4 linked regions of the Macaca mulatta genome follow. The protein of the gene in region 4 binds, or shares a complex with, the protein of the main gene of each other region. Links are inferred from orthologs where the notes say so. Each region holds a gene or a part of one and is shown on either strand. Other genes may lie near its edges. The genes, in order: LIMK1, INKA1, ITGB5 and PAK4.

Evidence for each region.
Region 1: the proteins of PAK4 (region 4) and LIMK1 are in contact, whole or in part, in a crystal structure (PDB 6WLY), measured with the Homo sapiens proteins. The link is inferred for Macaca mulatta from reciprocal best matches to the Homo sapiens genes PAK4 and LIMK1. Residues at the interface, in NP_001014831.1 of Homo sapiens: Glu329, Gly330, Ser331, Gln358, Arg359, Leu362, Thr404, Asp440, Lys442, Ser443, Asp444, Phe461, Leu475, Val476, Gly477, Thr478, Pro479, Tyr480, Trp481, Met482, Glu507, Phe516, Pro520; in NP_002305.1 of Homo sapiens: Lys505, Arg506, Tyr507, Thr508, Val509, Val510, Gly511.
Region 2: the proteins of PAK4 (region 4) and INKA1 are in contact, whole or in part, in a crystal structure (PDB 4XBU), measured with the Homo sapiens proteins. The link is inferred for Macaca mulatta from reciprocal best matches to the Homo sapiens genes PAK4 and INKA1. Residues at the interface, in NP_001014831.1 of Homo sapiens: Ser331, Gln358, Arg359, Glu361, Leu362, Thr404, Asp440, Lys442, Ser443, Asp444, Phe461, Leu475, Val476, Gly477, Thr478, Pro479, Tyr480, Trp481, Met482, Arg489, Glu507, Glu512, Phe516, Asn517, Glu518, Pro519, Pro520, Met524; in NP_976248.2 of Homo sapiens: Gly178, Arg179, Ser180, Arg181, Gln182, Pro183, Leu184, Val185, Leu186, Gly187, Asp188, Asn189, Cys190.
Region 3: the proteins of PAK4 (region 4) and ITGB5 are in contact, whole or in part, in a crystal structure (PDB 7S46), measured with the Homo sapiens proteins. The link is inferred for Macaca mulatta from reciprocal best matches to the Homo sapiens genes PAK4 and ITGB5. Residues at the interface, in NP_001014831.1 of Homo sapiens: Gly330, Ser331, Gln358, Arg359, Leu362, Thr404, Lys442, Ser443, Asp444, Asp458, Phe461, Leu475, Val476, Gly477, Thr478, Pro479, Tyr480, Trp481, Met482, Glu507, Glu512, Phe516, Asn517, Glu518, Pro519, Pro520, Met524; in NP_002204.2 of Homo sapiens: Ser762, Arg763, Ala764, Arg765, Tyr766, Glu767, Met768, Ala769, Ser770.

What each region holds. Positions count from the first base shown.
Region 1 is NC_133408.1:51,624,260-51,630,927, reverse strand, and holds the end of LIMK1 (LIM domain kinase 1), read right to left. Parts: intron 3,821-6,668; coding exon 3,765-3,820; intron 3,524-3,764; coding exon 3,366-3,523; intron 3,277-3,365; coding exon 3,114-3,276; 3' UTR 1,885-3,113; downstream 1-1,884. UniProt on the Homo sapiens protein: Serine/threonine-protein kinase that plays an essential role in the regulation of actin filament dynamics. Acts downstream of several Rho family GTPase signal transduction pathways.
Region 2 is NC_133407.1:113,275,993-113,283,265, reverse strand, and holds INKA1 (PAK4-inhibitor INKA1), read right to left. Parts: upstream 4,627-7,273; 5' UTR 4,600-4,626; intron 4,555-4,599; exon of another isoform or gene 4,532-4,554; 5' UTR 4,425-4,531; coding exon 4,374-4,424; intron 3,641-4,373; coding exon 2,843-3,640; 3' UTR 2,800-2,842; downstream 1-2,799. Other genes in the region: UBA7 (ubiquitin-like modifier-activating enzyme 7), read left to right, coding at 1-102, 1,665-1,757, 1,834-1,934, 2,396-2,525. UniProt on the Homo sapiens protein: Inhibitor of the serine/threonine-protein kinase PAK4. Acts by binding PAK4 in a substrate-like manner, inhibiting the protein kinase activity.
Region 3 is NC_133407.1:158,909,601-158,916,638, forward strand, and holds part of ITGB5 (integrin beta-5 precursor), read left to right. Parts: intron 1-2,445; coding exon 2,446-2,695; intron 2,696-7,038.
Region 4 is NC_133424.1:50,256,218-50,263,255, forward strand, and holds part of PAK4 (serine/threonine-protein kinase PAK 4), read left to right. Parts: intron 1-1,716; exon of another isoform or gene 1,717-1,795; intron 1,796-2,648; 5' UTR 2,649-2,721; intron 2,722-3,929; 5' UTR 3,930-3,952; coding exon 3,953-4,156; intron 4,157-7,038. UniProt on the Homo sapiens protein: Serine/threonine-protein kinase that plays a role in a variety of different signaling pathways including cytoskeleton regulation, cell adhesion turnover, cell migration, growth, proliferation or cell survival.

The sequences.
Region 1 (6,668 bases), on a different chromosome or scaffold from region 4:
TCCTAAAGCGCTGGGATTATAGGTGTGAGCCATCATGTGCAGCCCATCTTCTCGATAGGACCCTTTAGTTTTGTTTTGTTTAAGATGGAGTTTCGCTCTTGTTGCCCAGGCTGAAGTGCAATGGTGCGATCTCAGCTCACTGCAACTTCCTCCTTCCAGGTTCAAGCGATTCTCCTACCTCAGCCTCCCGAGTAGCTGGGATTACAGGCATGCACCACAGCACCTGGCTAATTTTTAAAAAATTTTTAGTAGAGACAGGGTTTCTCTATGTTGGTCAAGCTGGTCTTGAACCCCTGACCTCAGATGATCCGCCCACCTCGGCCTCCCAAAGTGTTGGGATTACAGGCGTGAACCACCGTGCCTGGCCAGGGCTCTTTAGTTTTACAAGAAAACATTAAGTACGAAAGCAGTACCTCCTGAATATGCGCGGCCCTCCAAAACCCAGCTTTTGAAGAATCTTCACTTGGCCCGCCTGTGAAGCTCCACCTAAAACTGAGCTGTGCTCTCTTCCCCCCTCCATACCTGCTTTTTTTTTTTTTTTTTTTTGAGACAGGATCTTGTTTTGTTGCCCAGGCTGGAGTGCAGTGGTGTAAACATGGCTCACTGCAGCCTTGATCTCTTGGACTCAAATGATCCTCCCACCTCAGCCTCCTGAATAGCTGAGACTATAGGTGCATGCTACCATGCCCAACTAATTATTATTATTTTTTGAGATGGAGTTTCACTTTTGTTGCCCAGGCTGGGGTGCAATGATGCGATCTTGGCGCACTGCAACCTCTGCCTCCTGGGTTCAAGCAATTCTCCTGCCTCAGCTTCCCAAGTAGCTGGGATTTCAGGCATGTGCCACCGCACCTGGCTAATTTTGTATTGTTAGCAGAGATGGGGTTTCATTATGTTGGCCAGGCTGGTCTCAAACTCCTGACCTCAGGTGATCCTCCTGCCTCGGCCTCCCAGAGTGCTGGGATTACAGGCGTGAGCCACTGTGTCTGGCTTGCCCAATTATTATTATTACTATTTTTTTGAAGACAAAGTCTCACTCTGTTGCCCAGGCTGGAGTGCAATGGCACCATCTTTGCTCACTGCAACCTCTGCCTTTTGTGTTCAAGCGATTCTCCTGTCTGTCTCCCAAGTAGCTAGGACTACAGCCATGTGCTACCACGCCCAGCTAATTTTTGTACATATATATGTGTGTGTGTGTATATATATATATATATACACACACTTTTTTTTTTTTTTGAGACAGAGTCTCACTCTGCCGCCCAGGCTGGAGTACAGTGGCGCGATCTCCGCTCACTGTAAGCTCTGCCTCCCAGGTTCACGCCATTCTCCTGCCTCAGCCTCCAGAGTAGCTGGGACTACAGGTATCTGCCATCATGCCCGGCTAATTTTTTTGTACTTTGTTTAGTAGAGACAGGGTTTCACCATGTTAGCCAGGCTGGTCTCGAACTCCTGACCTCGTGATCCACCCGCCTCGGCCTCCCAAAGTGCTGGGATTACAGGCGTGAGCCACCGAGCCCGGCCTAATTGTATTTTTAGTAGAGACGAGTTTTCACCACGTTGACCAAGCTGGTCTCAAACTCCTGACTTCAGCTGATCCACCTGCCTCGGCCTCCCAAAGTGCTGGGATTACAGGCGTGAGCCACCACACCTGGCCCCTGCCCAACTAATTTAAAAAAATTTTTTGTAGAGACAGGATCTCACTATGTTGTCCAGACTGGTCTTGAACTCCTGGGCGTAAGGGATCGTCCTGTCTCAGCCTCCTGGAGTGCTGGGATTACAGGCATGAGCCACCAAACACATCCTTGTCTTCTCATCAGGGAAGACTAACTCCTCTTATCTTGACTGTTTCCCCAGGGCCCCAGACACACATCGCCACGCAGGACCTGGGTGGGGAGTACGGAATTTATTTTATTGTTCTGCGTCTGGGTTTGGTTCCTTGGACGTCACGGTTCCTGGATGGGGGTGGGTGGGTCCCACCTCCCTAAGTCATGGTCCCACGGGCCTGTCGGGATTGTTTTCCAGGTTCAAAGTGCACTGAGAAAGCTTCACAGTTTTAATACTTCTAGATGCTCAACTGAGGCAAAGTGACAAAATGGCCCTCCCACCCCCGCCCGCCACAAAAATAAAACCCCAAGCCCCTGGCAGCTGCTGCTGCAGCCGTATGAAAAAATAATACAAACTCTTCTTAAAAAATAGATTACACAGAGAAAACGCAGAGGACAGAGGGGCATGAGGAGGGGCAGGGAGCCTCGGGGTAGAGGCCCGGGAAGGGGCTCTGAGATGACTGCAGGGGTTGAGCTGCTGGTGGACACCTGCCCCGTCCACTGTGCCTATCCTCTCGCTGCCCGAGCCGGCTCCTGCCCATCAGCTCTGGCCCAGGCACTGCAGCTCCCTCAATGGACCCCCTTCACCCTGAGGCTTGGTACCTGCTTCTCACTAAAGTGGCTTTGAGAAAGAAACAAAAAAGACCCAAAAAAGACCCAAAGCGGGAGAAGGGGCTGTTTGCTCAGCCATCGGGGACCTCCACCCCATGGGATCAGCCCTCTCTCTGCTTTGGGGGTTTGGAGAGTCCTCGATACCTGTTGCTACCTAGACACCCCCTGGGGGGAAAACGGGCCCCAGACTCCCCGTTTGGTTCCTGGGAACACAGACACCTGGGAACTTGGCCTCTGCCCTGACGTGCGCCCGCCCATGCACCCAAGCATTACATGGGGCATGGTTCAGAGGCTGCCTCCTGGCCCAGCCTCCAGGGAGCTACGGACCAGACAGGTGGAGCGTGCACAGGGTGGCTGGGGCAGCAGCCTGTGGAAAGGGGCACAGCTCACACACGCCCTCCAGCTCATGCAAGGAGAAGCGAGAGGGGACAGCCCTGCCAAGACAGAGGTTACAGCAGGGCGAGGGCATGGTGTGTGTGTGCAGCTTGGCCGGTTCCGGGCCACGGCAGAGAGAAGGCAGGGGAAGCGGTCCACGGGGTGGGAGAAGGCAAGTCAGGACCTGGCTCTGAGGAGAAGCCTGGGCCCCCACTGTCCCAGTTGAGGGCCACCTCCCGTGGAGGAATCTGGTGGGGGTGGATTCCCTGGAGGTGGGGACAGGGGCGGCTGAGTGGCCCTGGCTCAGTCGGGGACCTCAGGGTGGGCAGGCAGTCCGCTCTCGCCGCGCCGGTAGGTCTCCCAGAAACCCCTGTCCAGCTGCTCCAGCTGCGGGCCCAGTGGCAGGTGGCCGGCCAGGTGCATGCGGAGGGTCTCCAGCCAGTGTTCCAGCTTCACGAAGGACGGCCTGGGTGACAGGCGGGTGGGGAAAGGTGGGTCTGGCTCTCCCAGGAATTGGCCCCGCCGTCCCCCAGGCCAGGGCCCCACCCCACTCACCTCTTCTCGGGGTCCAGATCGCAACAGCGCACGGTGATGGGGAAGAAGCTCGGGGGGCAGTTTGCAGGGCAGTAGCGGTCCAGGAAGCCTCGTACGTTGAGGCCAAAGTCCATGGTGCGGGGCAGGTAGTCGGGGTCTGCGTTCACCCGCCCGATGATCTGTCCAGCACAAGGCCCAGCAGTTACTCCAGGGGGGCCCTCAGCCTGGGCGTCTGGGTGCCATCCAGGTGGCTTGAGGGCAGGTGGCACCAGGCCTGGCTGCAGCCTGACTGCGGTACCTCATGGGGGCCAGCCCATGCCTTGCTGTGGGCAGCCTTCCTGGCCTGAAGCCCCTGCAGATGCTGAGCCTGCAGCCTGGGTGAGTGGGGAGGAGCCCAGGCTTCAACACCCCTGGACCTACCTCGCACAGGACGATCCCAAAGGAGAACACATCCACCTTCTCATCATAGCTGCGGCCTGGACAAAGAGACCGACTGTCAACAGATGAACACATGGGGGTGCCAGGGATGCCAAAAGGCAGGGGACCGGGCCAGCTGGGAGGATGCCCCGGTCGGGAGGTCCAGGCCCAGGAGGCAGATGCCGGCAACCTCCTTGGGAACCCAGGCTTAGGCTCTTTCCCCCAACCCCACCAGGTCTGAGCAAGCCTTTGGGAGCTCTGAGGAGCAAGGGGCAGAGGCCTGGACAAGGAGTTCTAGGCACCGATCAGCTGCGTGACTTTGGGCAGGTCATGAACTCTGTGCTGGTCCTAAAAGGCAACCATGTCAGGTCTCTGGAATCCGTGAATGTTACTGGATCAGAAAAAGGGTCTTTTGCAGATGGGATTAAGTTAAGGATCTGGAGATGAGATGATGCTGGATGATCTGGATGGGCCCCAAATGCCACTGCAAATGCCCTCTTGAGAGAGATACAGAGAAGACACAGCAGAAGAGGAAGAGGTGGCCCTGTGAAGACGGGGGTAGAGACTGGAATGATGCGGCCACAAGCCCAGGAATACAAAACCACCAGAAAGTGGAAGAAGCAAGGAATGCATTCTCCCCTAGATCCCCCTGGAGGGAGTGCAGCCCTGTTGGATTTCAACCTTCTGGCTTCCAAAACTATGAGGGAATACATTTCTGCTGTTTATTTATTTATTTTTTTTGAGATGGAGTCTGGCTCTGTCGCCCAGGCTGGAGTGCAGTGGCCAGATCTCAGCTCACTGCAAGCTCCGCCTCCTGGGTTTACGCCATTCTCCTGTCTCAGCCTCCCGAGTAGCTGGGACTACAGGCGCCCGCCACCTCGCCCGGCTAGTTTTTTGTATTTTTAGTAGAGACGGGGTTTCACCGTATTAGCCAGGATGGTCTCGATCTCCTGACCTTGTGATCCGCCCGTCTCGGCCTCCCAAAGTGCTGGGATTACAGGCTGGAGCCACCGCGCCTGGCCTCTGCTGTTTATTTTATTTTGAGATGTAGTCTTGCTTTGTCGCCCAAGCTAGAGTGCAGTGGCATGATTGTGGCTCACTGCAACCTCGGCCTCCTGGGTTCAAGCGATTCTCCTGCCTCAATTTCCCGAGTAGCTGGGATTACAGGTGTCTGCCACCACGCCCGGCTAATTTCTGTATTTTTAGTAGAGGTGGCATTTCACCATGTTGGCCAGGCTGGTCTCGAACTCCTGACCTCAAGTGATCCACCTGCCTCGGCCTCCCAAAGTGCTGGGATCACAGGTGTGAGTCACCATGCCTGACCATTTTCTGCTGTTTTAAATAATCAAGTTTCTAACAATTTATTACAGCAGCCTCAGGGAACTGACATGGACTCTCTGAGCCTGTTTCCTTATCTGTAAAATGGGAATGATACCAGTTGCTTAATGATGTTAAAAACAATTGGTACATGGCCGGGTGCAGTGGCTCACACCTGTAATCCCAGCACTTTGGGAGGCTGCGGCGGGCGGATCACCTGAGGTCAGGAGTTTGAGACCAGCCTGGCCAACATGGTGAAACCCCATCTCTACTAAAAACACAACAATTAGCCAGGCATGGTGGCAGGTGCCTGTAATGTCAGGTACTTAGGAAACTGAGGCAGGAGAATCACTTGAACCCGGGAGGTGGAGGTTGCAGTGAGCTGAGATCACATCGCTGTACTCCAGCCTGGGCAACATAGCAAGGCTCCATCTCAAAAACAAAAAACGAAATACCCAAAACAATTAGTACTGAATACCAACTCTCATTTACTGAATGCCAACTAGGTGGAAATGAGTTTACAACCTTTAATCCTCACACCAATCCCTACAGATAGGAAACACTAAGACTGTTTTGTTTTTTTGAGAGAGTCTTACTTTGTTGCCCAGGCTGGAGTGCAATGGCACGATCTCGGCTCACTGCAATCTCTGCCTCCTGGGTTCAAGCAATTCTCCTGCCTCAGCCTCCAGAGTAGCTGGGATTACAGGCGCCCGCCACTATGCCCAGCTAATTTTTGTATTTTTAGTAGAGATGGGGTTTCACCGTGTTGGCCAGGCTGGTCTCAAACTCCTGACCTCGTGATCTGCCTGCTGCGGCCTCCCAGAGTGCTGGGATTACAAGCGTGAGCCACTGTGCCTGGGAACTAAGACTGTTTTATAGTCTTCTTTGGGGGCTATGTTAACTATGTTTGTGTGTGTGTGTGTGTGTGTGTGTGTGTGTTTTTGAGACAGAGTCCCACTCTGCCATCAGGCTGGAGTACGGTGGCGCGATCTTGAATCACTGCAACCTCCACCTGCCGGGTTCAAGCAATTCTCCTTCCTCAGCCTCCCGGGTAGCTGGGACTATAGATGTGTGCCACCATGCCCAGCTAATGTTTTTTGTATTTTTAGTAGAGATGAGGTTTCACCATGTTGGCCAGGATGGTATCGATCTCTTGACCTCGTGATCCGCCCACCTTGGCCTCCTAAAGTGCTGGGATTACAGGTGGGGTTGTTTTTTTTTTTTTGAGACAGTCTTGCTCTGTCACCCAGGTTAGAGTGCAGTGGTGCAATCTTGGCCCAATGTAACCTCTGCTCCTGGGTTCAAGTGATTCTCCTGCCTCAGCTTCCCAAGTAGCTGGGATTACAGGCATGAGCCACCACACCTGGCTAATTTTTGTATTTTTAGTAGAGATGAGGTTTTTTTTTTTTTTTTTTTTTTTGAGACGGAGTCTTGCTCTGTCGCCCAGGCTGGGGTGCAGTGGCCGGATCTCAGCTCACTGCAAGCTCCACCTCCCGGGTTTACGCCATTCTCCTGCCTCAGCCTCCTGAGTAGCTGGGACTACAGGCGCCCGCCACCTCGCCCGGCTAGTTTTTTGTATTTTTTAGTAGA
Region 2 (7,273 bases), on a different chromosome or scaffold from region 4:
GTGGGTGGGCCACGGCCTCGTAGTGCCTTTCGCCACAGCTACGTCCATCTGGCTGAAAACTACCTCATCCGCTATATGCCTTTCGCCCCAGCCATCCAGACGGTGAGCCCATGATACCCCACCCTTAGCCCCACTAGGCCTAGGTTTCCCCTGCACCTGCCCACACAGGCCCCAATCTAGCTGCCAGCTCTCACTGAGACTCAGACTGTGCAGGAGTCCTGAAGACTCCCTCCAGCCTTCTTCCTGCTATGAAGCCAGGCTGGGACCCGTCAGACACAGGAAGCAGCCGTCAGCCATCCCCACCCCCAACCCTCCAAAGCCCAGGATCTGGGGGAGCTGCAGCTTTAACTCATTAGTGGAGCCAGACATCCCCTACAGTCCCCTCCTTCCTTGGAGTACCCCTGAGGGGTAGGTGGGGGGGAGGGGACCAGGGCCTCAGCCCCAGAAAGAGTCTAGCTTCCCCCTGCATGGTACAGGGGCCCTGGCCTACCTCCTGCAAGCTGAGTTAAAGGGTAATAGGCTTGCCACTAGAGGTGTGGTGTCTGCAGCCCTGTGTTTGTGTCACAGGTGTGAGTGCACCCGGGGTCTGGGTATCCCTGGAGTGTGGGTATGGAAGGAGCAAGTTTGCACATCTGTGTGTCAGATGGGAGTGCAGGGTTTCCATCTTCCTGTGTCCTCAATGTGGGTCTGCATGGAGATACATGTGGGCACACGTGTGTGTTCCTGGGCTTGTGGGGATTTGTGTTCTTGTGACTGCAGGGCTGTGAATGCCTCCAGCCATGTGCTCAGGCTCTGCAGCTGGCATTTCCTTGGGGCAAGGATGGGGGTAGAAGGAATGCCCTCACGAGGGGAGAGGGCAGAGGTCATGGGCCAGCACTGGGCTTCTGCTCAGCAGCCTGGGGTCCCTCTGGACATAGTACACAGAGCCCCTTTGTTAAGGCACCCTGCCCCTAACCAGCACACAGGCTGCCTTTGTCCACGGAGTGGAGCAGGGCAAGGAGAAGCCCCCATCTCACCTCTAGCCTAGTCTCAGCTTGACCCCAGTGTTTTCTTGGGGGCTGATAGGCACCCCCTGTCCTTGTCTCTAGATACCTGCTAGCTGCCCTTCTGTCCTTAGCTCTAGGTACCAGAACCCCAAGACTCTTGGAAGGAAAGAGGGGACAGGAGGAGGAAGCCTGTATGCATTGTATCCCTGCTGGGGTCTCTGGGACAGTGGGGCCCTGGTGGTCACTGTGGCCTTTGCCCGTGTCCCAATGAGTAGCCCAAGGCACTGGCAATACATATAAGATTGGGGGACAGGATGTGCCCCTCAGCTCCCAGCCTTGTCTCTGAGGAACAAGCAGCTTTATCAGAGGCTGCAGGGGCCCTGCTGTGGGTTTCCTCAGGAAGCACCACCCCCTCATCCCCCACCCTCACGACTGGCCCGTGTGATGGATCGTCTGTTTCCCTGTGCGGGCCCCATAGCCCCATTTCCTGTGCTGGCCCCAGCCTGGGCGGGGAGGGGGCTGAGACTCTGGGCCCAGATCCCACCTCCCCCCCACCCTCCACCCCTTGGCTCCTGCTTCCTGCTAGTCCAGCTCTTCCCCTAGGAAAGGCTGCTGGTAACTGGGATGGGGGTTGGGGGTAGGTAAGAAGTCTCTCACTCCTCCTCTACCTCATTCCAGTTCCATCACCTGAAGTGGACCTGTTGGGACCGTCTGAAGGTACCAGCTGGGCAGCCTGAGAGGACCCTGGAGTTGCTGCTGGCTCATCTTCAGGTGTGCCCTGTCCCTACCCCAACGCCCAGGCTCAGCCCAGCCCGGCCCAGCTGGTGTCTGACCTTTCTCCCTCTAGGAGCAGCACGGGTTGAGGGTGAGGATGCTGCTGCACGGCCCAGCCCTGCTCTATTCCGCCGGATGGTCGCCTGAAAAGCAGGCCCTGCGCCTGCCCCTCAGGTGAGCCCACCTGGGGCTTTAGACAGGCCCCACCAGTCCCTGGAGGCTGGGGCTAGGGGCCACACAGCCTTCTGTCTTCCCAGCCCCATTCTGGGCTCCTCACATCTTCCCAAGCATTCTTTTGCCAAATGGAGCCAGCAAAAAAGGCTGGAGGTGGGGTGAGGGCCGAGAGCCTGAGGAGGAGTCTTCAGGAGCTGCCTACTTGGCCAGCCCCATGGGCTCCCCACACGCTGCACAGCCCCCCTTTCACAGCCCACTCCCAAGGGACCCATAGCTTCCTGCCTCCTGCTTGCCTCACCAGCTGCTCCTAAAATAGTTTCAGATGTTTCCTGTCTTGAGTAGCTCTTGCTCCTGGCTTGGGCTCCTGATGGCCTGCCAGCACCCTCTCTAGTCCATGCCAGGCTGCCCACTGCCTGCCACTGCTCACCTCTCCAATCTCCCCTAAACCCCACCCCCACTAGGGTGACAGAACTGGTTCAGCAGGTGACAGGCCAGGTACTTGCTCCTGGGCTGCGGGTGTTGGTGCTGGAGCTGAGCTGTGAGGGTGAAGAGGAAGACACTGCCTTTCCACCTCTGCACTATGAGCTGTGACAAGGCAGCCACCCCATCACCTAGCTCAATGGAGCCCTGGATCCCAAGCACTGCATTGTAAGCCCACAGTAGGCACTCAATAAATGCTTGTTGAAGGAAGGCATAGTGGAGAGGATGGATGATAGAACACAGTGCACTAATGCACACAGGTGTGACATGGGCATGACAGGGACCTTCACACAGAGACAAAAAGCTCTTCAGATTTGTCTGCCTGGGCAGTGCCTCACAGGGCTGGGGCTGCCTCTTAGTGCCTCAGGGGTATGAAGCCAGGACAGTCTAGAAATAAGGCTTTTATTGTCCCAGGCTGGAGGGCAGGGTCAGAGGTAGCTGACATCATTGCAGATGATGGGCTGGCGACTACGGCAGCTCATGAGGGCTGCGAAGCGTGAGACATCCGCAGGCATTTCAGGTTCTGGGCGAGGTGGGCATGACAGCCGCTTTCCTGCCATAGCTGTCCGCCGAGCCCTGGCCAGCCGGCGCCGAAGCTGCTCGGAGAGGCCAAGCAGGAACTGAGGGGGCCGAGCATGGGCACGGTGCCCACCTCCATCACCTCCTTCACTCCCTGTCTCAGGCAGCTCCATCCAGTTGTGCACCAAGTCAGCAAAGCAATTGTCCCCCAGTACCAGGGGCTGGCGACTGCGACCCCTATTCAGTAGGGCTGCTGTCCAGTCCTCTGCTTCCAGTCCCTGCCAGTGCTCCAGGCAGGCGTCTGGGGTGGACTTGGGCCGTGGACGGTGGACAGGTGGTACACTGGCTACAGGGGCCCTGCTGGGCATGGGGAGGCCACTGACTGAGAGGCGCTGCCTACGAAGGGGCTGTGCTGAGGGTGCTGGGCGCTGGGGAACAGGTAGTTCTTCCTCTCGCCATGTGCTGCCTGACACCTCCGAGAAGCCAGAGTCCCAGTCCAGGGCATGCTCCCTGGGGCCTCCCAAGGCTGCACCCCTGTCTTCTGTCACCACTGCCTCTTCTTCCTCCTCCTCCACACAGCAGACTGAGTCTTCTTCCAAAGCACCTGAGGCCCTAAGCTGGTGGCGGGGCTGCACATCTGGGCCAGTTTGGGGGGTTGGCTGCAGGGGACCAGGCATCGGGGGTGAGCCTGTGTCCCGACCACACAACTGAGGGGAAGAGAGGGCAGAAGTCAGAGAGGTATCACTTGTCACCAGGTCAGCCCAGAGTACAGAGGGTCCAGGAGGGTTAGATAGGCCTGCTGGCCTGGGCAGCAGGGTGCTAGTGAGCACAGGGCAGGCATGGGGTGCTGGCACTCGAAGCTGGTGTGGTTCTCATTCACCGACCTGGTGGCAGTCCGGCAGGCTGCAGCACGCAGGGCTGGGCAAGTCGACACCCGCCACCAGGGCGGGCGGGCGGGCAGGCAGTGTTGTGGGCCTGAGCAGGGAAGTAGGTCCTGCCCAGGACTGGAGGGGGATTCAGCTCCCAAAGCCCAAAGCGTTTTTCACAGAAAGAGCGCTTGCTAGGTGAGGGGTGGAGAAGGGAGGCATAGGCCAGCCTGAAGTACGGGGCGTTCACCGCAGTGCTAGCACCTCGTTAGTCCCTTGCCGCCCCATGCCCCACCCCCAAAGAAGTTCCCCTTCCACTCTCTCCTCCCGCGCCGTTCCAGCAGCACGGCCAGCTGGATGCTGTTATCTGATGCTCAGCGCAGTTCCCAACCCTCCGAAATCCGACGCGGACCATCTGAGCCATATGAGCCGCGCCGCCCCCACCCCGCGCCGCCCCCATCCCGCCTCGGACGGGCACGCTGCAGCCACCCCGCACCCGTCTGCTGTTCCGGCCGGGCAGCAGCCTGGCACCCCGCACGCGTCCTCCCTAACCGCACCCGCTCCCGAGCCTCACCAGTTCCCAGCGGAGCTGGCTGAGGAAGCTGTCAAGCCGAGCGCTGTGCATGTCCGTGCCGGGGCCCCAACTGAGCCTGCTGGCTCCTCTGGGAACCCCGGCGGAGCCGCGCGGAGAGGGCTGGGCGGGCCGGCCAGCGGCGCCCTCAGCCTCCGCCTGGCTGCGCGGCTCCTCGCTCTCCGTAGCTCCCGCCGCCGCCGCCCCGACATCTGGCAGCCGCGCCCCGCCCCGGCCCCACGGCCAAAGGGGGAGGGGCTAAAACCCGGCGTCCCTCCGGACTCCGCCGCCGTTCTTGGGGGAAGGGCGGGGTCGTAGCTGGAAGCCGGACGGGGTCGGGCCCGGGATACCCAAGCCCCCAGATGGTTGTGTGGACCCTGCATTTGCTGCGTGACGCAGGACAGGTCGCCTCCGTGCGGGGGCCTCATCCTCCCCATTTGTTCAATGGTGAAATAGCGGTCCCTCTAACGGGGCGTCATGCTGCGCCCGCACATAGGCAGAGCGCCCCGTATGGTCGGACCCAGAGAGGTTGTGGCCCACTCGGGGCCTGACCCACGGGACCCATTCCTGAGGCTGGCCTCGGCACTCCCTGAACAGGATGGAAGTGGGGTTCGGCCTGAGGACTCAGAGAGGGTGGGACTTTGTGGCAGCGCACTGGCGGGGCCTCAGCCGCGTTCCAACCGAGCTAGACGGGACTGCCCTCTAGTGGGGAGTGCTCGGCTAGTCGCGAGTCCAGCGGCGACCCGCGACCATCGGCATGCCCTCTGCCGGTACCAGGTGCAGACTGAGGGTGGGTGCTGGGGTGAGCCTGTCTCCTGAGGTTGCTCTATCAAACAGGCTAGGCTCAAGAGTAGTGTAGCTGCAGACAGACTGGACATACCAGCTACAGGAAAATACCAGGGAATGAGGGCCATGGGCTAGCCTGGGGAAGGGCAATCTCAGAGGAGGTGACATCAGGATGCAATCAAGAGGAGGGGCATTCTAGGCAGAAGGAGCAGCCAGGGAAAAGACCCCGAGGGACAGGAGCTGGACAGGGCCAAACATAAAGAAGGCCCAGGTGTCTGTGATTGGTGGTGGCGGCAGAAGGGAAAAGGTCAGCAAAACCAGGCTCTAACGGCCTTAGAGCAGAATGTGGGTTTTGTTCTTGGTGTGATGAGGAGCAATGGGGGCCTCTGAGCAGGAATGACCTGGGCTAGCTCTTGTTTAGATAATCCCAGCTGCTTTCAGAAAAGGATTCTGCAATAAGAGTGGAAGCCCCTGCCGTCATCCAGGCAACGAAGGGGAGGGCCTAGGCCTGGGCAGGGCAGGTGCACTGAAGGGGGGTCACTTTGGGGTATGCTTTGGAGCTAAAATCAAGTCTTGCTGATGCATGGATGTGGGCAGGAAAAGAGGCATCAAGCATGACTCCTACATTTCTGGCATTAACAGCTGGTTGGATGAAATTGCCATAAACTGATCTGGGAAAGACTGGAGAAGAGTGGATTTGGAGAGGAAAATCCAATGATCATTTATGGACATGTAATCCTTGAGATGCCTGATAGACATCCAAGAGGAGTTGCAGAGTCAGCTGCTAGGTGTATGACTCTGGACTTCAGGACAGAGATCAGCACTGGAGCCTTGGATCTGGGAGGAATAGTGAGTGAAAGGATGGTATGTAAGGCCATAGGCCTGGATGAGGTGGGGTGGGAGGAAATGAGTGTAGAGGGAGACAGCAATCAGGACTGTGCCCTGGGACATTCCACGAGGTGGAGGTAGGGGAGATATGAAGCAGAACTATCAAAGAAGCTGAGCAGAAACAACCAGGAGAAATCTGAGAATGTGGGGACTCAGGAGCCAAGGGGAGCAAGCATTGAATGCTGCCGAGGCAGTGAGGGTGAAGAACAAACCACTGGATTCGGCAGTGCATAGGTCATTGGGAACCCTGACAAGGGCAGTTTTATGTAGAGAGGGACAAACCTGATTAGAGTGTGTGGAGAAGAGAGTGAGGGCTGAAGAACTGGAGACGGCAAATAAAGACAACCGTTTTTTTTTTTTTTTTTTTTTTTTTTTTGAGACAAGGCCTCACTCTGTCGCCCAGGCTGAAGTGCAGTGGCATAATCTTGGCTCACTGCAGCCTCGATCTCTTTGCTCAAGTGACCCTCCTATCTCAGCCTCTCAAGTAACTGGGACTACAGGCATGTGCCACCACACCCAGCTAATTTTTTTTTTTTTTTTTTTTTTTAAGAGACAGGGTTTCACCATGTTGTACAGGCTGGTCTCGAACTCCTGATCTCAGATGATCCTCCTGCCTTGGCCTCCCCTACAGGCATAAGCTACTGTGCCTGGCCAGAAAACTTTAAAAAATGACATACAAATACAATAAATGGACAGATCTCAGAGTTATAGCTCAATAAATGTTAAAATCTGTAGATACTTGTGCAGCTGCCACCCAGATAAAGGTATAGAACATCCTCAGCAACTCCTGGATGCCATCTGGTGCCCTATCCAATTGATATTCCCAACGGTAACCAGTATTTGTATTTCTATCATAAAGGATTCCTTTTGCTTATTGGATGTAGACAGCTTTTTTTTTTTTTTTTTTTTTGAGACAGGGTCTTGCTCTGTCACTCAGGTTGGAGTACAGTGGCATAATCATGGCTCACTGCAGCCTTGATCTCTTGGGTTCAAGCGGTCCTTTTACCTCAGCCTCCTAAGTAGCTGGGACTACAGGCCTGGATCACCACACCCAACTAATTTTTTGTAAAGATGGGGTCTCACTTTGTTGCCCAGGCTGATATCGAACTCCCGAGCTCAAGTGATCCTCTCACCTCAGCCTCCCAAAGTGCTGGGATTACAGATGTGAGCCACCACACCCAGCAAGTTTTCAAAGATTTTGTTGATGGTTGGGCTCATTTTTTATAGGC
Region 3 (7,038 bases), on a different chromosome or scaffold from region 4:
CACTATGATGTGGCACCCAAGGAGCCCTCTGGCGGGACCGGCTGTGTCCGTCTGACCAAAGGCAGACACTGCAGCAGCCTGGAATTCATTCTGGAAGAAAAACTTGAACATTCCTCTGTTTGAGTCAGACTCATGGTTTAAAAAAATAGGCTTATACCAATAGGCAACTCAAACTCCATCAGTCCTGAGGCACCTAGAACAGTACACGCAAAGACAAGTCAGGAGAAGCAGGTTCAGAGCTGCCACTCTGACTACAGGCAGTAATGATCATAATCATACTTCATCTGTGCAAGCCTGTACTACTCATAAAACACTGCTCTCCCTCATGAGCGCATAATAAATAGGCTTAATTGATGCTGTGAGCGTTGTTCTTATTTCCATTTTATATTTCAAGAAACTTGAAATATATTCCATTTTATATTTCAGGCCCAGGTTGCACTCCTGCTCAAGGGACAGGGCTGGAACTTGAACTAAAATCTTTTGATTATTTGATTCTTTATGGTCTAGTTAGTGAAATATGCCTTGTTGTCGTGGTGGGAGGAGAAGAGGGAGCATAGAGGATTGAGTTCCCTACAAGTTAAAGAAGTCTTCAGTTTGCTGGTTGTCAGCTTGAGATGAAAGACTGGTTGCTCTGAGATGTGGCTGCCGGCAAGTCAGGTGTAGACTCGCTGGGCAGGAGTGAGGCCATCTTTGCTCTAGTGCCTCTAAACACACAAAGAATCTATCCAAATTTCAAGTATGTATAGATGGTTCTACTGCAGGGTAAATAGGACATCTCTTGGCACTCCTGAAAGGTTAATGAGCCCAAGGCAGATATGAGTTGAACTGAGCCTTAAAGTTCGTTCTAAGTGATTTGTTTTTAGAAATTATGAAATGATTTCAAGATCATTATCCTGGCCTGGGTCTTCCAGTTATTGCCCTGACTTGAGCCTCTCTTTGAACTCTATAGAGTGAGACAGCAAAGACCACACCTGCCAGACACTGGCTTTTTTCTTTGTTCTTTTCTTCTGAATTAATTCCGCTTTTCTCTGCCTGTCGGCTACCTTATTGTAGCTGGTAGACAAATCTAGTGCTATCTTTTCTCTTCTCGTTTTCTTTTTTCGATAGAGCTAAAATTTGGAATCTGTCTTCCTGTATTTATATCTGTAGTTTCTGATGATAATGAGTTGTACCTGTGATGTCCCGAAACATCAAATATGCCCCCCAAAGTAAATACTAGTCTGGTAAATGGTGAGGGAAATAGAAACAAAAACAGGTGACGTGGCATAGGCATGCATATTTTTGCCCATCGGGGTATTTTATTTATTTATTTATTTATTTGAGACGGAGTCTCGCTCTGCCGCCCAGGCTGGAGTGCAGTGGCTGGATCTCAGCTTACTGCAAGCTCCGCCTCCCAGGTTTACGCCATTCTCCTGCCTCAGCCTCCCGAGTAGCTGGGACTACAGGCGCCCGCCACCTCGCCCGGCTAGTTTTTTGTATTTTTTTAGTAGAGATGGGGTTTCACCGTGTTAGCCAGGATGGTCTCGATCTCCTGACCTCATGATCCGCCCGTCTCGGCCTCCCAAAGTGCTGGGACTACAGGCTTGAGCCACTGCGCCCGGCCCATTGGGGTATTTTAAACAACCATCTTTGTTTCTCTGTCCTCCCTTGCCTTGCACATCTCTCTCCCCAGCTTGGTTCTTCCCCACTCAGGCTCTTTTGTTCATTTCTTCCCTGCTTTTTGTTTCAAACACACATTCCCATCGTGGCTGGGTCTTTCTCTGGAGTTGGTGTGTGGTTGGTGGGCTATTCTCCACCTAGTTTGTGTTCATGAAATTGTCTGGTTCACGGTCCACTGATTACCCAAGGGTCCTTGTTGCTGAGTAGACAGAACACCACCAAGGAGCCTGGCTGTTAGGGAGTTTCCTTAGAAATGCTAAGCCCAGGCCAAGTGTGGTGGCTGACACCTGTAATCCCAGCATTTTGGGAGGCTGAGGTAGGTGGATCACTTGAGGCTAGGAGTTTGATACCAGCCTGGTCAACATGGTGAAACCCCGTCTTTACTAAAAATGCAAAAATTAGCCAGGCATGGTGGTGGGTACCTGTAATCCCAGCTACTCAGGAGGTTGAGGCATGAGAATCACTCGAACCTGGGAGGCGGAGGTTGCATGAGCCAAGATTGCCCCACAGCACTCCAGCCTGGGTGACAGAGCAACACTCTGTCTTAAAAAAATAAAATAAAATAAAAAAATAAATGCTAAGCCGAGTGTTTGGGAAGGAGAAACCAGGCCTCCATTCTCAGCACCGTATTCCCTTCAGGCACTTTACTTCCAAGAAAAATCTTCTGGGAGGCACACAATCACTAAAGAAAAGTAAGAGGTGAACTAGCTTTGAAAGCAAATCCCACCCCTCAGCCCTTAGCAGGTTGCATGACCTCTAACACGGGTGGCCTCTCTGTTGGTGCAGGTGACAAGACCACCTTCCAGCTACAGGTTCGCCAGGTAGAGGACTATCCTGTGGACCTGTACTACCTGATGGACCTCTCCCTGTCCATGAAGGATGACTTGGACACTATCCGGAACCTGGGCACCAAACTCGCGGAGGAGATGAGGAAGCTCACCAGCAACTTCCGGTTGGGATTTGGGTCTTTTGTCGATAAGGACATCTCTCCTTTCTCCTACACGGCACCGAGGTACCAGACCAATCCATGCATTGGGTAAGCGACCATTTGCCCTTCTGTTGGGTACTTAAGGGTGGGAGAATGGAGTAGCAGGAAAATTTAGCTCAAAGAAAGAATTAAGGAAGGCATGGTTAGGAGGGGTGGCCAGGCTTAGGTGTTTAATTTGATTAACGATAGGCATACATTCTCTCCTTTCCTGACCTGTCAAGAAGTGAGTGAACTGTCACAAGGTTGTAAAGATAAAATGATCACAACCCCTTGATTATCCTGCCTGCCATGCACAGCACCACTTGCTCACATTAATAGAACTCAGAAAATGTCCTCAGGGAGTGATGAATCCAGATTATCAGGGAGGCAGCAGGCAGGGCAACTTAAACTTTCCCCTTGCTTGTAGTAACTGAGGTGCCTGGGGAGAAATGAATTCAAAATTTGTCCCTGTTGTTTTTCTATAAATAACTATAACTTATTTTCACATAATTAGACTAAAATCCTATTTTAAAGGTAAGCATTTTTTTTTCAACATAAACACCTGAACTAGAAAAGATTTGACATATTATTAGAAAACAGGTGTCTCTAACTGCTGCAACAGAGTCTATAATAACAAGGTGTATAATTTGATGGAAGTTTATTTCCTGCTCCTCAAGTCCAGCTGGGTCTCTTCATTTGTGGAACTTCTCCTGCAAGCAGTGACTCAGGGACCTAGGTGCCTTCCATCTTCCAGGCTTTCCATCTTCCACACATGGCTCCTAAGGTCATGCTGCCTAGAGGGTCATGCATAGGAGGATAGGCCTTTGCCATGCCTGCTCCCACATGTGATTAGACGGAACAGAACTGAGCCAGGAGGCTGAGAACTAGTATAGCTCTATGCCCAGGAATCAGAAGAAATAGGATTATTGAGCAGGTCTCTGCCATGGGGTGTTTGTGTGCATGTTGGGGGTGGTGGTTGTATGAGGGGATTGCATTCTTCAGCCCATGAAACACAACCTCTACTAGATTGGTTTCTTTCCTTTTTAGTCTTTCAGGAGTTCCTTTAAATGTCAAGATTATGCAAGTGACTGCAGTGAGTGGTAACTTCCAACTCTTGCTTTCCTTGTCTCCGTATTTAACTTTAGTGAGGGTTTGTGTTGTAAGGTCCAAAACTAGTCATGAGATAGGGAACAACTAAGACTTAAGTTTTTACTAAGTGTCAAGCCCTTACTAAATATTTTCTATAGATTATCTCATTTAAATCTCATAACAATCTGGTGAGTTTTCTAAGGTAGGTATAAGCCAGATGTTAAAGATGCAGACACTGAGGCCTAGAGAGAATAACTTACCCAATATTATACAAACAGCAAGGGATAGAGCTGGAATATGAATACAGACTACTTTTTTAATTTTAATTTTTATTTTTATTTTTTTATTTTTTTGAGACGGAGTCTGGCTCTGTCACCCAGGCTGGAGTGCGGTGGCCGGATCTCAGCTCACTGCAAGCTCCGCCTCCCGGGTTTACGCCATTCTCCTGCCTCAGCCTCCCGAGTAGCTGGGACTACAGGCGCCACCACCTCGCCCGGCTAGTTTTTTGTATTTTTTAGTAGAGACGGGGTTTCACCGTGTTAGCCAGGATGGCCTCGATCTCCTGACCTCGTGATCCGCCCGCCTCGGCCTCCCAAAGTGCTGGGATTACAGGCTTGAGCCACCGCGCCCGGCCCAGACTACTTTTATAGTCTGCATTTGCTTTTTTTTTTTTTTTTTTTTTGAGACAGAGTCTTACTCTGTTGCCCAAGCTGGAGTGCAGTAGCGCGATCTCAGCTCCCTGCAACCTCTACCTCAGCCTCCTGAGTAGCTGGGATTACAGGTGCATGCCACCACACCTGGCTGATTTTTGTATTTTTAGTAGAGATGGGGTTTTACCATGTTGGCCAGGCTGGTCTTGAACTCCTGACCTCAGATGATCCACCCACCTTGGCCTCCCAAAGTGTCGGGATTACAGGCATGAGCCACTGCACCCGGCCTGCATTTGCATTTAATATAATGCCTTCTTCCCCATTAAAATCACACTACAACACAGATACTTTACCTTAGGCTGAGTAATAATACCTGCTCCAAAACCACCCTACCCCAATCTCCTAGGCTTACCTGAGGATAATGGTAGGCTATGTGGCAGTAATGTACAGTCTCCAAATCTCAGTGGCTGAACACAGTGAAAGTTTTTGTTTTTTTTTTCTTGTGCAAAATCTGATGAGGGCTGAGCTGCTTTCCTTGCAAGCTCTGCGTGCAGTAACTCGGGGATGCAGCTCCTTCCATCTTGTGATGCCACTCTCAATTCTTGGTCTTCCAGCTGCCACCAACGGAAGAGAAAACCCCTGAGCCCTTCCCTCTCCACAAGTCCTCTTTGGTAGCCTTCAGAGCTGCCAGCTCCAAGTTGGGCTGGGTGGTGGGAGTGAGTTAGTGTGCTGGTGGCATGGGCTCTTCTGAGTCCCTCCGGATCCTTCTGTACATCTCCTAGAAGCTGACTTAGATCTTCTCCAGGGATTGGGAACTGACACTGGTAGAAAAACAGTAAGACAAGAAAAAGTTTTAAATACAAATGAAACTCTAAATTCTTTAACCACGAAGAGGCACTAGGCATCATCATTTGCTGGGTTTAGCTTCCTCCTGGCGACAGGTGTCCACAGGGACTATTATTACTTTGATCCTATCTCCAAGGCCCTTTTCAACTAAGTCCGGGTGCCAAATGTTTTTTGTTGAAATTTTACTACTTACCAGGAGCAACAGCATCTTAACGGCAAGCCTTAATCAAGCCTTTTTTCAATTCATCTGGAATAGTGATTTTATTTGCTTCTTTTCACCTCTGTCCTAATTGGGCCCTGTCTCCAGACAGATAGGGTGTGTCCCCACTTTCATTCTTCCACGGCCCTTCCACTGACTGAGACACTAGATTGGAAGCTGGCAGAGAATCAAGGGCTGGCTCTAGGCGCACAGCATTTAAATATTCAAAGTTATGACACATTACTTATTCAGAGCTTACTCTCTCAGTCCTCTAAGGCAGAACCCGTTGCAGACAGTAAAACTCTTGACAGTGAGTACAAGGCACACTGAAAAGCTGCTTGTAAGGCAGGAAGTCCAGTGAAGAACGAGAGTGTGGAAGGAAACCTCGGGCCTGAGTTATGTGAAGCTCTCTTCTCTGAGCTGGGGCGCACACGCAGTGCAGGGGCACACTGTGGCGTGGTGAGCAGGCTGAGCTTTGTCTCCCCAAGTCCAGGCAGCACGGCATCCTGTGCCTCCTGGGTTCAAATGATTCTCCTGCCTCAGCCTCCCGAGTAGCTGGGATTACAGGCACATGCCACCATACCCAGCTAATTTTTGTATTTTTTAGTAGAGATGGGGTTTCACCATGTTGGCCAGGCTGTCTTGAACTCCTGACCTCAGGCGATCTACCTGCCTCGGCCTCCCAAAGTGCTGGGATTACAGGGGTGAGCCACCGCGCCCGACCTAAAGTATTTTAAATTATTCTGTTTCTGTTTCTTGAATTGTGGATCCTTCAGGTGGATCCACAGCAGGTCAGTGTATTGGACCTGCTGACATGCCTTCATGAATTGTTTTTCATGCAATTTGTAAGCTTTTCATTAGTACATCTTCACTGGAGGTTGTGGGGGCATCCCTGCAGAGCAGTTTTATGTTTGCTGCTGTCGAGAATCTCCAGGTTCACCGTGGGACTAGTTTTTCTGTTAACTTTTCAACTGGAGATGTCTTCACCATAAAGGCAGTGTATTCCAGTTGCTCAGGCCTGGAATTACAGTTTTTATGGGTAATTCATCTCATTCGTGACAGACGGTCAGCTTCCGTGCCGCTTTCCCGGACCAGTAGCTGGAGTTTTTCTGTTTCTGGTTTTAGTGGCACAGCAGCTCATTGTAGTGTTGGGCTTTATGCAGAGAGCCCTATTCCAGTGTTCAGCCCTGTGCAGGAGTGATGCTCAGCATCTCTTCCTGGTAGACCCTGCTCCAAGCCTGCAGGGCCTCAGTCAAGGCCTGACGCATTGCAGGGGTCCTTGGCATGAGTGCCTACCCATTTCCTACCTTTTTTTTTTTTTTTTTTTTTTGAGACTGAGTCTCGCTCTGCTGCTCAGGCTGGAGTGCAGTGGCACGATCTCAGCTCACTGCAACCTCCACCTCCTGGGTTCAAGTGATTCTTCTGCCTCAGACTCCTGAGTAGCTGGGATTATAGGCGCCTGCCACCACGCCCAGCTAATTTTTGTATTTTTAGTAGAGATGGGGTTTCACTGTGTTGGCCAGGCTGGTCTTGAACTCCTGACCTCAAGTGAATCGCCTCAGCCTCCCAAAGTGCTGAGATGACAGGCGTGAGCCACTGCACCCGGCCCCCACCTATTCTTTTAAGTC
Region 4 (7,038 bases):
GCGTCACCTCAGTCCTCCAGGGCAGCAGGACAGGCAGGTAAGAGCCCAGCCTTCAGTGCCTTCCACATACAACCGCCCAGGTTCAAATCCTGGCTGCTTCTCACTGGCTGCTTCTCCTGTCCATGCCCTGGACAAGGGCCTTCCCTTCTCTGGGCCTCAGTTTCCCCATTTGTGAATTGGGATGAGGATGCTTGTGAGGATGGAGCGGGATTAGACACAGCAGGGCCGGAACCCGTGAATCTCTGCAGACAGGCCTGGAGTCTGGTGTCCACTCTGCCACCCTAGCTGGGTCACTTGGGTTAATGAGGTCCCCCTCTGTGCCTTGTTTTCCCTGTTTGTAATCTGGGGCTTATAATGGCCCCTCCCTCCAGGGCCAGATGTGGGACCCAGGTAAAGTGCCTGGAAGAGGGCTGGTACACAGTAGCTACTCCGTAAGTACTGGCTGCTACTGGAATGGTGACCGGCACTTATTGTGTGTGATTTGCCTTGGCTCTGATCCCAACCGCTGTCTCTGGGCCAGGCCCTCCGTGCTCTGTGTTCTCCGTAATTCCTTGTAAAAACTCCAGTAAGGCCAGGCGCGGGGGCTCACCCCTGTAATCCCAGCACTTTGGGATGCCGAGGAGGGCAGATCACTAGACGTCAGGAGTTCGAGACCAGCCTGGCCAACATGGTGAAACCCCATCTCTACTAAAAGTACAAAAATTAGCTGGGCGTGCTGGCAGGCAACTGTTAATCTCAGCTACTCGGGAGGCTGAGGCAGGAGAATTGCGTGAACCCGGGAGGCAGAGGTTGCAGTGAGCTGAGATCACGCCACTGCACTCCAGCCTGGGCAACAGAGCGAGACTCCATTTAAAAAAAAAATAAATAAATACTCCAGGAAGCAGCTACTGTCATCGCCATCTTTGAACAGAGGAGGAAACTGAGGCACAGCATGGCTGAGTTGCTCACTCGGGACCACATATTGAGGTCCCCAGGTTGGGTTAGATCCCCAATTCACAGACACAGAAAGTGAAGTCACACAGGGCAGGTCATAGCAGCCCTGCTGGGGTTTGGAGCCCTGGGCAGCCTGACTGCCAAGCTCGGAGCTGGCCCGGGAGCCCAGCCCCCACCCTTCCTTCCCTGCACCTGGGCAAGCCCAGCCTTTCTGCCTAGCTCTTCTCCCTCTTCCCAGGCCTGGCACGGCCTCTGTGGCCCCCGCGAGATCAGGAGCTTATGTTGGGAAGGGAGCGCCTGCTGGGGAAGCCAGCAGGGCTTGGAGCTGCCCAGGAGGGCCCAGGGTGGGGCCCCTGCCTAGTCATTATAAACATGTTCAGTTCCTCTGTTTGTCCTGCCCTCTTTGCAGTGCCCAGAGGAAAGGGGTGGCCCCAGGCAAATATCCGGAGGCGTGCCCCCTGCCCCCTTCCCTTGGGGGTTTATGGGTGGGAGGGCAGGAGGCCAGGCTTCGGAGGACATACCCCAGACCCCGTGCTGCTAGCTGGGTCAGCTGCCGGCCTTCCAGGCTTCTCCTGCCCTGTCCCCAGGCGTCCGCCACCTCCGGGTCTGCCCTGCTCTCCGCCCTCTGGGCTTAGTGAGGGTCACATGGCTGATCCTGTTCCTGTGACTGTGGGAACAGCCTAGTGCCCCGCAGTGGGGAGGGAGCGGGATGGGCGGGGTGACAGGTTCACGATGAAGAGTCACGGGCTGGGCATGGGGCCAAAGGGGGTGGAGGGACATCTGGGAGGATAGAGAAGCCAGAGGACATGGGACACAGCTCTGGAGTGACAGCAGGCAGAGTGGGGAGATGGGGACTGTTGGGGTATGTGGATGACCCTAGGAACTGGGCCTAGAAAGCAGCGAGAGAGTAGGTCAGGGCCACCAGGGATGGGCCGGGCTGGAAGGCCACGAGGGAGGGCTGGGCAGCACTCAGGGCACCAGCATTGGGCTCGGAGAAGGGGCTGGGCAGACACAAAGGAGGCCCCCTGCCCGCCCTGCATCCTGGGCCCCAGGGCAAGCAGGGAAACTGGGCCAACCCTAGGAGCCTTGGCCAGGCCGGCTCTGACCACCCGCTGGCCTCTTGGGACCAGTTGAGACAGGTTGACTGCCGGGTCCCCACCCGCCTCCCACGGGGTTCCCGCTGCCAAACCGGTTCCCCTGGCTGGCTCCCATCGATGGTCCTAGCTCTGGCCAGGGCCTCACCTTTCCTGGCTGCTCCCATGAAGGCAGCCTGAGCTGGGCGGAGAAGCAGGTGTGGAGGGGCCGCATGCATCTGCGGATCCTCTGTCCTCTCACTAGGACCACAGGACTCTCTGGGCTGCGCACTGTGCCAGGCTCTGGGGAGCCAGCTGGGAACAAGACAGAAGAGAAACTCCACCTGTGTGTCCCCCCGTCCTCTGGTCTCAACTGTTCCCCTCTTCCGGGAAGCCTCCCTACTGCCCACCCCACTGTCCTTCCAGGCTGGGTCCCGTGCTCCCGTCCCCCAGCCCTGCACCTGGGCTGCTGCTGCGCGGGGACAGGTCTGTCTGCCCCACACGAACTTCCCATGAGGTCAGAGGCTGTCCGGGCCGCTGCGGTGGCCGCAGAGGAGGCCCATTGCTGAGTTATTCCTCAGTGAATGAGTGAATGAGTGAATGAGAGAATGAGTGAACGGATGCATTCCTCTCATTTTACAGATGAGTAACCCGAAGCCTCTAGAGGAGTGGTCACCCGCCTGAGGGCACTTCTGTCCCACCAGCATCAGACCAGGTGTGTGCAACTCCAGGGCCCAGGCCTGGGACAGCTGGGGTGGGGCCTTCCGGGGGAGCAGGAATTGGGCCCCTCCTCCCAGAGACACTGTGGGAGCCGCCCCGGCCATCACAGTGGCCCCCACCGACAGGCCCCCCGCGTTTGCCCAGCCCTGCACCAAGCTCTTGGCTCCCAGTCACCCATGGCCCCTCGCAGCAGCCCTGTGGGGGTTCATCCACGGCACACAGAGGTTGTCACTTGCCCAAGGTCACGGCAGCATGTGGTGGAGAGTCAAACTCTGGCCGCCTGGCTCCTCTTCCCATCTTTCTCCGGGCTGTCTATGAGATGCCGCCATCAGCATGTCTCCGCCTCAGCCCCTTTGTTTTTTAAAGTGGCTTTGGTCGAGCGTTTGCTCTGTGCTTGGTACTATGGCAAGGGCCGGACTGAAGACCACAGATCCTGAAGATAGGGGAGTGTCGTGGCAAGGCTACCTGGGTGCCCTCTTACCCCAGGGGCTCAGTAACCCTGTGCTGAGTCAATATCCAACGGTGTGTGCGTCCCCAGCCCAGACTCAGGGCTGGACCAGCGGCGGTGGCTGTGGCCAGGCCAGCAGTGACCGTCCATTGAGTACACACCGTGTACCAGGCATAGCGGGGGATGTGGGGAAGCGGGGCAGATGAGACCTGGCCAGAAGGCAGCACTGACATTCTAGCGAGTGGTGTGGATGCTGCCCTCGGCAACCTAAGACGGAACAACAGACAGGATTTCTGGGCTGTGACGGTGATGTAGAGCGGGGACGGCGGGACACGAGGCTGCTTGCCTTGGGGTGGTCAGGGAAAGAGTCACTGCTGCTCTGAGAACTGAAGGAGGAGACGGGGAGCCCGTGCGGACACTGGAAGTGAGCTCCTGGCAGGGGGGCCAGCCTGTGCAAAGGCCCTGAGATATCCAGGGGGTGAGAACAGAGAGGTGATGGGGGCTTGTGGGCCCGCGGGAGACATAGCGGCAGGAAAGTTCTGAGCAGAGGGACATGGCGGCTCAGGTGCTCACGGGTGCCCTCTGGCTGCGTGTGCCACACAGATGGGGGCAGGGGCTGAGCAGGGAGACCCCGAAGGAGGCACCTGCCTCCTGTTGGTTCCGGTGGAAGATGAGATTGGAAGGGACAGGGCAGGGGCAGAGGAGGAAGAGACACAGGCAGGCTCTCACCCACCCACCACGATTCCCTCCCGCAGGCCGCACCGAGCCGCCCGGAATCATGTTTGGGAAGAGGAAGAAGCGGGTGGAGATCTCCGCGCCGTCCAACTTCGAGCACCGCGTGCACACGGGCTTCGACCAGCATGAGCAGAAGTTCACGGGGCTGCCCCGCCAGTGGCAGAGCCTGATCGAGGAGTCGGCTCGCCGGCCAAAGCCCCTCATCGACCCCGCCTGCATCACCTCCATCCAGCCCGGGGCCCCCAAGGTATGCGGCAGCCACCACTACCTCCCCCAGCCCACCCCCACCCCTGAGTGACCCCAGCCCTCAACCCCACACTCGACCCTATGACTGACACCTCCTCACTGACATGGAAACAGACACACCCCAGCCTTCAACCCTGATCCTGGGCCCAGCGCTGGCCTTTCACCCTCCACCCACTGGCTCCAAGTTCTGAGAACCCATGCCACCCCAACCTGAGCCCCCATGGCCCATCTGGCAGCCCCCACACCAGCCTCCAAGCTCTGCTGTCTCCCGGCCACCCCTACCCCGGGGGCCATGCTGCTGTGCCCCAGACCACACTCCCATCACATTCTTGAGCCTTTCCAGAGCTCGTGGCAGTGGGAGACAGACCCATTCCCAGAGGGTGACAGCCCCGAGTGGTCAGGGCTTGGATGGGGAAGCCCGGAGGAGGCACCTGACCCAGACCAGGGCTCCAGGCGAGCTTCTGGGAGGAGGGGACAGCAAGGCGGAGCCCAGAGCTGAGGAGGAGGAGGAGGAGTTCCAGCAGGCGCTGGGGAAGCCGGGCTTTAGTGGGGGAAATCACGCCTGTGAAACACAGGCTTTTTGATTTTGGGTTTTTTTTTCCTGCCATCTAGAGCAAAATGGCAAGATTGGGATTTGAACCAATGTCTGTTTCCAAGGCCCATGCCCTTACCCCCTCTCCTGCCTCCATGTGAAATGGTGAGAGTTGTGGAGCCGGTGTCTGGGTGTGGCCTTGCACGAGGCTGGCCTGGCCTGAGCCCCTGCTGAGCCTCAGAAGCCAGCCTTGGAGCCTGGACTCTCTCCCGTGGTCAGTGGGGACCGGGAGGGGCCGCAGGCCAGGGGGAGCTCGGCCAGGTTTGCTTCCAGCGGGTGGAGATGGGTGTGCCTGGGGACTCACCCTTCCGGGTGCCCAGCCCGGCCTGGCGGGGAGGAGCCCCAAGGGCCCACAAGTTGGCCGTAGACACAAGTGCAGCTCAGTGTGGTGGCCCACTGAGGGTTCCATGTGGCCCACACAGGACGCTTTTGAATGCTTTGACTTCTTTGCCACCACTGAAAAAGTGACAGACCACTTCCGAGGCCGTTTCTGGCATCTGGTGACAGACCAGCTGGAGCCGAGTGGCAGTGGCCTCTGCAGGCCGGGTACTGGCTCTTCTGGGCCGCAGGCCACACCCAACCCGCCTCAGCTCCACGCCCTGCCTGGCTCTGTGGCCAGTTGCATGTAGGCTTTGACCCACATCAAGGTGTCTCCAAAAACCCAGCTCCTGCCTGGCTCGCCAGATGTGAGGCCTGCCTGTGGCGGTCCCACCAGGAGGCAGGACACCTGAATTCACACACAGGGCCTCGTGGCCGGCACTGTCCTGGGGCCCCATGGGCGCTTGTGTTTGCTGCCCTTGTCTGGACCTCAGGCCTTCCAGGGCCCTCTCAACCCCCTGTGTTTTTTTGTTTGTTTCTTTGTTTTTGTTTTTGTTGTTTTTTTTTTGAGACACATTCCTGCTGTCTCCCCGGCTGGAGTGCAATGGCGCCATCTTGGCTAGCTGCAACCTCCACCTCCTGGGTTCAAGTGACTTTCCTGCCTCAAGTGATTTTCCTCCCAAGTAGCTGGGATTACAGCTGCCCACCACCATGCCCAGCTAGTTTTTGTCTTTTCTGTAGAGATGGGTTTTCGCCATGTTGGCCAGGCTCGTCTCAAACTCCTGACCTCAGGTGATCCTTGGTCTCCAGGTGCTGGGATTATAGGCGTGAGCCACCGCTCCTAGCCTCAATTCCCGGTTCTAAAAGCAAAGACTGGCCTAGTGTCCACCTTGCTTTCCTGGGGCCCCTGGGCAAGGCCCGGCTTCAGGCAGACAGCCACGGCCAGGAGAGGCAGGGCAGCGGCAGACCACGGGTTTGTGGCGTCAGTGTTTTCTGCACATTAGAGGCAGGCCTCCGGCTGGAGGATATCTGAACCCCGGGCAGGGTCCCTGTCAGCAGGGCCCACGTTCTCAGCTCACCGTGGCCTCTGCACAGCCGCCTCACTGACTCCGCGGTTTAGCAAAAGTTCACGGAGCCCCTGCTGTGTGCCAGATGCTGGTCTAGGTGCTGAGATGTAGCAGGACCTGAAGCAGACAGGAAAAAACCATCCCTGCCCAGAGCCTGCACTGGGCAGAGCCGGGAGCAGACAGATGCCTGTGTGCCCTATATCAGCTGCTGTCAGGCGCTCTGGGTAGAATGCAGGCAGGGCAGGGGCTGGCATTTTAGATGATGGGTGGCCAGCGGAAGCCTCATTGAGAAGCTGAGTTTTGAGTGAAGACCTGAAGGAGTGGAGGGAGGGAGCCACGGTGACCCTGAGAGCTGATGTTCCGGGCAGAGAGAGCAGCCAGCAGAGGCCCTGGGCGGGGGTGTGGTGGGGAGACACCCGTGTGCCTGGAAATGGGGCGGGGACAGAGGGGCCCTGCAGGACACGACTCAGACCACGGAGGGTGGGGACAGGGTGACTTGGGACGCACTGGACGCTCTGCCTGGTCCCCACCTGCGTTTGTATTTGCCACCCGGCTCCTGGGACCCCCTTGCCCTGTACTTTGGGACCAGGCCTTTCTGACCCTCCCTGTCCCCCACCCCTTGTTGTTCATGGGAGCAGAGTGTGGTTTTGGGGCTAAGGAGCACTGGCGCCCACAGGGGAGGAAGTGCCAGGCCAGGCCAGGCCCCAGCTCCCTGTCATTTGCAGTCCTCGGGGCCGATTATGGGATGGGGATGGGTTGGCTTCTGCCCTCCCTCCCCCAACCCCACAGGGCAGGACTATTCTGCCAGTGTGGGGAACAGGAGAAGAACAAAGGGTGCCTCCCCAGGGTCCCACCCAGCCCAGGGGGCAGCAGCCTGGCCATGGGGATCACTCCTCCGGTCTCTGC